Linked DNA regions of Oryzias latipes. The protein of the gene in region 1 purifies or fractionates together with the protein of each later gene. This does not show direct contact. Links are inferred from orthologs where the notes say so. Each region holds a gene or a part of one and is shown on either strand. Other genes may lie near its edges. The genes, in order: nek1 and c17h21orf2.

The links.
Region 2: the proteins of nek1 (region 1) and c17h21orf2 purify together in Homo sapiens (affinity purification with mass spectrometry; 3 studies listed by BioGRID and IntAct, with this or other methods). This does not show direct contact. The link is inferred for Oryzias latipes from reciprocal best matches to the Homo sapiens genes NEK1 and CFAP410.

The regions. Positions count from the first base shown.
Region 1 is NC_019862.2:1,046,396-1,050,211, forward strand, and holds part of nek1 (serine/threonine-protein kinase Nek1), read left to right. Parts: coding exon 1-48; intron 49-176; coding exon 177-242; intron 243-400; coding exon 401-460; intron 461-532; coding exon 533-580; intron 581-3,232; coding exon 3,233-3,313; intron 3,314-3,384; coding exon 3,385-3,545; intron 3,546-3,612; coding exon 3,613-3,735; intron 3,736-3,811; coding exon 3,812-3,816. UniProt on the Homo sapiens protein: Phosphorylates serines and threonines, but also appears to possess tyrosine kinase activity. Involved in DNA damage checkpoint control and for proper DNA damage repair.
Region 2 is NC_019875.2:17,265,586-17,270,162, forward strand, and holds c17h21orf2 (protein C21orf2), read left to right. Parts: upstream 1-1,576; 5' UTR 1,577-1,628; intron 1,629-2,130; coding exon of another isoform or gene 2,131-2,133; exon of another isoform or gene 2,134-2,233; intron 2,234-2,373; exon of another isoform or gene 2,374-2,509; 5' UTR 2,510-2,526; coding exon 2,527-2,603; intron 2,604-2,767; coding exon 2,768-2,786; intron 2,787-2,859; coding exon 2,860-2,906; intron 2,907-2,983; coding exon 2,984-3,213; intron 3,214-3,305; coding exon 3,306-3,456; intron 3,457-3,549; coding exon 3,550-3,646; intron 3,647-3,736; coding exon 3,737-3,889; 3' UTR 3,890-4,133; downstream 4,134-4,577. Other genes in the region: rpl37a (60S ribosomal protein L37a), read right to left, coding at 1,201-1,283, 1,448-1,576, 2,131-2,133; orc2 (origin recognition complex subunit 2), read right to left, coding at 4,248-4,331, 4,407-4,525. UniProt on the Homo sapiens protein: Plays a role in cilia formation and/or maintenance. Plays a role in the regulation of cell morphology and cytoskeletal organization. Involved in DNA damage repair.

The DNA.
Region 1 (3,816 bases):
GGAGCCAGAAAGCCCTCAGACAGGAGGGCAGCTCTAAAACACAAACCAGTTTGTATTTTCTTCACTTCTTATGTTTTCAGCTAAATTGCATTTTTCTAGTTTAGTTTCTTCCTGTAAGATAAATGTTTTAAATGTGTCACTCGTGGTTTTTTTTTTTAATTGAATGTGTTGCTTAGGCACCTCTGCCAGCAGCCCACCTGAGAAGAGGGAGTCAGGTGGAGGAGGAGAGGAAAAAGCAGGAGGTACTTTTATCAGAGACTTCCACTCCTGTCTTTCTTTGTCCCTATGACTAGTATTATCAAGGTTCCCCTTCATTTGCTCTTTTTCTGGGTTCATCCCTGACACCAGACTTCCCCTTTCTGTCAGATCAGTGAAGAGGATTTCTTTTGTCTCATTGCAGGAAAACATGAAGAAGAAAAGGATGGAGCTGATGGAGAAGGACAGGAGACAGAGAGAGCAGGTTATTGCACTGTTTTCTTTCAGGAAAGCTTTTCCTAGTTGTTCCAGCCTTTCTGAAAAACGTGTCTTTCAGATGTTCATGCTGAAAGCAGAGCAAATGAAGAGATGTGAAAAAGAAAAGGTGAGCATTTCAGGAGCCATCTGCCTCTTTGTCTGTATTTCAAATGCAGTTGAATGCACTTATTTATTTATTTGGTTCCTATTTCCCCTCACTTGAACAATTACCCATGAACAGCTTAGTTTAACTGGATAAAATATACTTCAGTACATGAAGTTTTAAACCCAAATCCTTCTTGTTTTTTGGGTTGTTTTTTTTACGTGTTAGGTTTCATTCAGAAAGTGTATTCTTGCCTTTTTATCCAAATCCCCCAATGTACTTGTGTATCATGTATAAAAGGGCCTACAGCTCCACGGGGGCAGAAAAGGGCAGATATTAATCCTATTAGACCTGTCACAACCAAACACCGTTGGTAGACTTAAACCAGGGGCGTCCAAACCTTCAGCAGAGAGGGACAGGTGTGATGAGGTAAAATCTATGACAGCCAACCAACCAGGCTGCAGGATTAATGCAAGTAAACTATTGAATAAAAGTATAACTGCAGCCTGAGAGGGAGAAGATGAATGAATAAACCTGGATTTACATCAAGGAAAATAACAAACGGTTCTCTTGATCAGTAGTGCAAAGATCAGAGAAACAAATGTTTCCTCTCGTTGGGCCCTTTAGGTTCTGGAGGTCAAGCAGCTCTTTGTTCACGTTTGTGTCATTGTCTACTCCTCTCAAAGATCAGTAACTGAGAGGTGTCTAATGAAAAACTCTCCTTCCATTTCACATGAACTGTCTTTAATTCTCCGGACCACAGAGTTACAAGGCAGGCAAACTCCTATAACTCTCGCTTCTTCTTAGGACAAATGTTCTGCAGCACGTTCATCTGACAGTCATAAATTCATCGTTAGTGAAAGGTTTGCAGTGCTTGGCAGTCGATGTTTTACCTCGTAGCTCTTCTTTTGTGGTGCTTTCATTGGACTCACGGGTCCTTGTGGAAATCCAAAAATTAAAAGCCACTTTCCAGTTCATATTCTGCTCTGTTCAGTCTCGGTTCAAAATGGCCACAGTCTTTTGGGATTGGAGGTAAACACAGTTGTTTCATATTTCAAGCAAATAAACACTCCAATTTCCACGTGTCCTTGGACCACGCATGCCGCCGGCTCAGGCAGTAGAGCAGGTTGTCCAATAACTAGGGTTGGGCGATGTCCCTTAAATTGGCCGTTGACGATGTTTGCTGTCAACCATCGGGATGGACGATGACATCGTGGGGGGGGGGGGGGGGGGTATTTTTTACATTTTTCGTTCTTATATAACTGCTATTCGTTTTTTGCTTTTTTCATTTTATTTCCCTACTGATGACTAATCCGCGATGATCCAGTATAAACTGAGGGAGGTGACTTTAACAAAAAAAGTAACAAACAAAATAGAAGAGAAGTAGTCCGCTCCCGCACTTCCGGGGGAGTGCGGACTTACAGCTTTGTGTTTGATGGGAAGGGGGGGGGGGGGGGGGTACATGAGCGGTATGTGTGGGAGATTTAAGACTGCGATCCGTCCCGCAGCTCTAGGGGTACAAGCAACCGAACTCAGAACCGGGTCTAAAAGTGTGTGTCTGTGCACAGCTCGGATCGTCAGCACACACAGTGGTTTGAGCTTCAAAGCAGAAATGTCGCTCAGTCCTTAAAAAACATTTAAACAATCACGCGGATTTGTGTTTCCAGTCGTGTCCCGACTAAATAAAGGCTGATGTTATTCTTACATGTTTACGTGCAGCCAGCAAGCAGAACCACCCAAAGCTAATGTTGTTAGCCCGTGTTAGCATACTGCTAATCCTGGCTTCGTTCAGAAAAAGAACTGACCACACGGATTAAAATTCAAATGATGAGCGAACAGGTGTTTCATAATAACCGTAACATTATTAAAAGCACGTTTAGAAGATCATCTCGTATTTTACCGAGCTGACATGTCAATGTATATAGCCGCTCGGCGCTGTTTAACAATGTTTTGTATTGAACTGTTACATACAATAAAGTTTGAAAAAAAAAGCCGCTCGGCGGAGTTTATATCCTTCCGTTTTTCAAACCCTACTGCGCATGTGCGAATGGTTTATTCCGATGGAAAGTGTGACCTTAGTGAACGTTTTTATATTCTGAAAACATTTTTCTGGGCCCATGTACACGGTTGGATTCTAATCCAACCATTGATCCCATCAAGATATTTTGTACATGTAACCGCGGCTTATGGTGTCGACGCGCAACGTGGCGGGGGCATGGCATCACGATGGTGGTCTCTCCATCGGGATGTCAGTCACCCATCACGATGGACGATAATATCGTCCATCGGCACAACCCTACCAATAACCAAAGGGTTGGCGGTTCAATTCCTGCTCCCCCCATTTAACTGTCGTTGTGTCCTTGGGGGACACTTCATCCTCCAGTGCAGCTCCAGTGCAGTGTGAATGTGTACGAATGTCGGAGGGGCCGTAGGCGCCAACTGGCAGCCACGCCTCTGTGGCTAACGTTAGTGGTTCAATAAAAATGGCCCCAGGGCAGCTGAGGCTACATCAGTAGTTACCCTCACCAGGTATGAATGAATAATGGACACATTGGAAGCGCAGATAAAATCCAATCCATTATTATTATTTGACCCGTGGGCTGGACTTTGGACGTGCCGGATTTAACTATAAGCTCTAGAGAAAACTGATGAAATCCTGCCTGTGATTTCCCTCAGATCACCAGAATAAATCAAGCCAGAGAACAAGGCTGGAAGCACATCCTGACTTCAAGTGGAGGCAGCAGCCCAGAGAGAAAGGTAGTTCCACCCTTCAGATGTGTTTCTTTTCAGACTAAAGCTGGTCACTGCTGACAAGCTTTTGTATTCAGTGTTTTGTGAGAGCTGTGAAGCGGGCTGCTGGGGCTGCCTCTCCTGCTCCCGCCTCCAGCAAGAGCCCCCCCGAACAAAGCCACCCTGCCTTGGACCAAACGGCCAAACCCCAGCATAAAGATGCCAGCTGGCTCTCTGCGGGACCGCGCAGTCCCCTCCGGTATGACCGCGTCCTTTAATGGGAAACATCACAGAACTCTTAGTGTCGGGTCTCTGCTGTGTTTCAGAGGTGAACCGGCTGCAGCAGGTCCGGTTCTGCCCAGCACCTCTTCCAGGCGCTTCAACCACAGTGCAATCAAGAGGGAGCTTCAGAGGCTGCAGTGCGTCTCCAAACACGTGCACATTAGCCGGTGAGTGGATCAGTCCACGACGGATCTGAAGGAAACTGGAGAAGACGAGCTGCTGTAATGTGGGGTAATGTTTCAGGCAGC
Region 2 (4,577 bases), on another chromosome or scaffold:
CACAAGTAAACCACAGGGGGTGGTGGTAGTGTCCTCTCAAATGGACAAACAAAAACAACAACTAACTAATTTAAGACTGATTTCTTGCATGTGGGAAACAAATGTCACATGACACCAGTCAAGCTACATTTATCAACAGCCACTTTGGCACCAAACCAACTAAATACTTGTTCCCAAAGAAATAGTTTAAACTGAAGATGTTTTATATTTACGTGAAGACCCACTCCAATGAAAATGGGGTTTTTAAAATGCTCCTGTGGCCTTTTTCTGACGATGGGGGACCAAATGGTTATTTAGGAGCAAAAGAAAAATCCATTTGGAAAAGCGTATTAGTAATGTCACCCATAAAAATAAAAATTGTGCAAGCTTCCCAGTTCGTTATGGGAGGTGAGCGTGATCCACGCCAACGATCCTGCTCAAAACTTAGGGGTGAATTTCTAATGAACTGGTGCTGCTCTGCAAACTTTTTCCTATAAAACGGAACAAATTTTGAGATTTTGGCTAAAAATGACAGAATTAAAAAAAAAAAACACTGGGAATGCTTTAAAAGAAGCTCAAAGAACTCTCAAAATGATTGCTTGAAAATAGGAGTTTGTTGACAAAGTAAAAATCTAAAGAGTTCTTCCATCTTAAACTTTTATCTTTATCACATCCTTACTGCAGCCCCTCAAAATAACTCAAATGTAATCATCAGTTCTGACAGAAATCATATAAATCTACTATTTTATCTTCATCGTTAATTTCTAACTAAAAATCCGTTTTAAAACACTTGGAGATAGCCAAACTAAGTTTTGAGAATCACAGGTTTTAGGTTACACTGCACATACTCTAAACATTGTGCAACAATGCAATGTGCATTTTGATTATTTTAATCAGTTTTTGTGCTTGTTCACACAAACATATCTGACTTTAGTTTTTTAATTAGTCAAGTTGAATATTTGCATCACTTTTGAGTCTGCAACTGGCCTCAGTTATGAACACATTCTGCTAGTGCTTGATATTGAGTAATGTGGCTCTGGGTGGATTTATCCAGCCAAAACCACCAGCAGAAGATGATCTTAAATATGCATGCATGCAATGACAGATTCAATCAGGGGGTGATGAAGAAAAACAAAACACTAAGAGATGTTTTAACAGTTGGAAATAAATTACCTTTACAACAAATGATCAAGATCAACACAGACAAACACGATCTCTTACTTGTATGTCCAGGCACCCCCAGCCACCGTCTTCTTGCAGGACCCACAGTGCCAGATACCAACGGCCCTTCTCTTCATCTTAGTCTGCACAAAAAAAAAAAACAATCAGGTTTCAAAACCAGAAATTTTCAAGCACATCATTTCAAATTTCACGATTCCTATTTATTGAAATTGTAGAAGGATTAACAAGTGAGGGCGCAAGGACCGCAGGGACACCTTACAGGTAGAATGTTTACAGTAGCTCTTACCTTGCCACAGAAGGAGCAGGTGTACTTCGCATGCTGGGAAATTTCAATTTTCTTGACCATCTTCCTCAGCGACGCGCCGTAACGTGTCCCATATTTACCGACGATCCCCACCTTCTTGGTGCGCTTGGCCTATGGAAGGATAATAACCATAACGATTAATGACGCTAAACATCACTGGAAAGTATGTCAATGCATGAAAACGGAAAATGACTTAGCTAAAATGTTGGGATTGTGTAACTGTTTTTTTTTTTTTTTTTAAAAGGGTTCACAACCTCTCGGAGCCGCTTAGCTACAATGGAGTGAACGCTAGCTTCAACAAGCTAACGTTAAAAAAACTCCAAGCTCTCGAGCATGTTCACACATTTTGCTGAATTTTTGGTTCTTCGCCTACGTAAAGCCGAAGGACAAAAAGAAGACGCAGTCTGAAAAAAATAAGGTTCCAAAGTGATATCAAAAAGACTAGCTCGCCCGGCACTTGGGCTCTATGATATGGTGGCGGCCATTTCTGTTCCAAACATGAAAACATCATTCATTTAGATGGGATATTCATCCAGTAAATGCATGATACTGTTTCATATGAAACAAGAATACCATTACAATGTAATACAAATGGTTATTTTATGACTTTAGCCACAGGAATGGTTAGATTGACATGGATTGTCAACGGGAAACCCTTGGCTCACCATCGTTTCAGTGGAGACGTAGGTCCAAAGAGGGATTGCGTAACGCGCAGGCGCGATTTACTTCGTCGCCCACTTTGCATTGTGGGAAATTGATTTTTTACATGAACGCCATAACTCAAGAATTACGCTTTTCGGCACTTTTTATTTTGAATAAGCGTTTAATTGTATGCTTTTGACAGACACAAAATGCAAAAAATTAAAGTTAAAAAAACTCACGTACGCCGTAACTAAGAACGCGTTACTTGGTGTGCGCATGCGTATTTTCGACGTGAACAACGACATCCCTCTAGCTGCACGATTGAAATGTTGTGGCTGTTATGATGGACCATACCTTGTTTTTGAGGTTTTATGTAATTGAAAGCATCTTTCCTTTTTGAAGATACCAGGAATAATGCCATGAAGTTGACACGGAAACTGGTACTTGCTAAGGCGAAGGCCTCGGACTTAGAAAGCGTAAAAAAATTAAACTGCTGGTATGTGTACAGCACCAACTCTCAAGTTTTATGGGGGTCTAGTTATATTCATTCATGTCTGTCATTTATATCTTTACCACATGCTTTTTAATAGTTATAATGCTGCTTTTTATTGCTATCTGATACTAATTACTTTTTCAATTGATTTTTCTATCGTCTTGTAGGGGATGCAACCTGACTGATGTGAGTATTCAGATAATTGCTTCCATCTTGATCTTATTCTAACTTCTGTGCCTGAATTTATGTGTTTTTGCAGATTTCCATCTTTACACAGATGCCCAATATTGAGGTGCTCGCTCTGAGGTTGGTGCATTGAACTCTTTGACATCTATAATGAAATCTGAATTCCTGACTGGAACACTACCTTTGTCCATTCACAGCGTCAATGGCATCTCCACGCTTTCACCTCTGGCTGGCTGTTTATCTCTGACCGAGCTTTATCTGAGGAGGAACCAAATTCCCTCCCTGTCCGAGCTGTCCCATCTGCGTCCGCTGCCTCGCCTTAGGGTGCTCTGGTTGGCCGAGAACCCCTGCTGTGGAACAGATTCCAGCCGCTATCGCCTCACTGTTCTGCGCTGTTTGCCTCGTCTCCAAAAGCTCGATAATCAGGGTGGGTGTTAATGGAAATGCAGCCGTTACCTAAAGCTGTCGAGGAACTTCAACTTCACGATCCCTCTGTTTTTGTTTCTGTTTGGTGTCCAGTGGTGACCGAGGATGAGGTCGCTCTTGCTCTCCTGAATGGTGAAGAAGTCAGAACCCCTCCAGGCAGCCTACCTATCCAGCTTTCCAACAACGGTCATCAGGATGCAGAGACAGAGAATGACCCACTAAACTACAACATGGAGGAGACCAAGTATGTTTTGTGGACTAAAGCAGAACTAACAGAAAGGCACAAAAAAATGAAATAATTTGTCGAAGAAATTTAGACAAATGGTTTCTCTTTTAGCAAAATCAGACAGGGGTTGGGAATGAAGCCTCTCTCCAGGGACAAGTTTTCCTCTCCTTGTTCTCCGTCAACCAGAGAAAAACCAACAATGAGAAGGGTAGCTGCTATTAGCATCGCTGCAGTAAAACTCATCGTGCTGATGTTACATGAAGTTTTATTCTAACTAGCGCCATCTTTGCATTTTCAGACTCACACAGTGGATGCGATTCTGCTCCTGCTGAGGGATCTGGATGAAGAGGAGCTTCGGATCGTTCACACAGCCACGCTGAACAGGCTGCAGACCTACACACTGGGCTCAGGAGAGGCTCAGCCACTCACAGCCCACACAGAAACGCACTAGAACTCACGATAACGGCATGCATTCAGCTCCAAAACGCATTGGAATGTAAAACTCAGGACTTTGAAACAGAAAATGTGCACAGGATGACATTCCTCAGCTTTTCTATAATAGAATTTTAACTTTTATTTCTGCATGTGTACCTAGCCTTATGGGAAAAAATTATGCATGTTTTTTTCAAAATGTATACATTTATTTCTGTAATTAAAGAGGAAAAATAACAGCAATAAAATTACCTATAAATTGAGCTTTTATTTATCTGAATTAATTAGTTTACAAAGTGAAAAGTGGTGGTACTAAATCCTTGACATCATTTAAGCTTGTTCCGATGGACTTAAGCTTCTGTCCACAGATCAGATCCTCAGTCCCCCTCCTCGTTCTCCAGGAAGTCCATCAAAGTGCTGGCATCCACAGCGACAGTCAGGTACTCTACTCCATCTGCGCCCTGGAGGATGATGTCACCGAGGTCAGAAAAGCGATGTACTATGAGAGTTCAGAAGACCTATGAAAAGGAGTTCACCTTGCGTGTCCTGATCAGTTTATGGTCCCTGAACTCGGTCAGCTGAGTCCTCAAAGTCAGATCAGAGTTCACCAGGAACGCCTCTCGACAACGCTGGTAGAAATCTTGGAAGGAAAATCCTGCACACACCACAAAAAATGTATTTCAAATGCAATTTAGGAAGAAAACAGT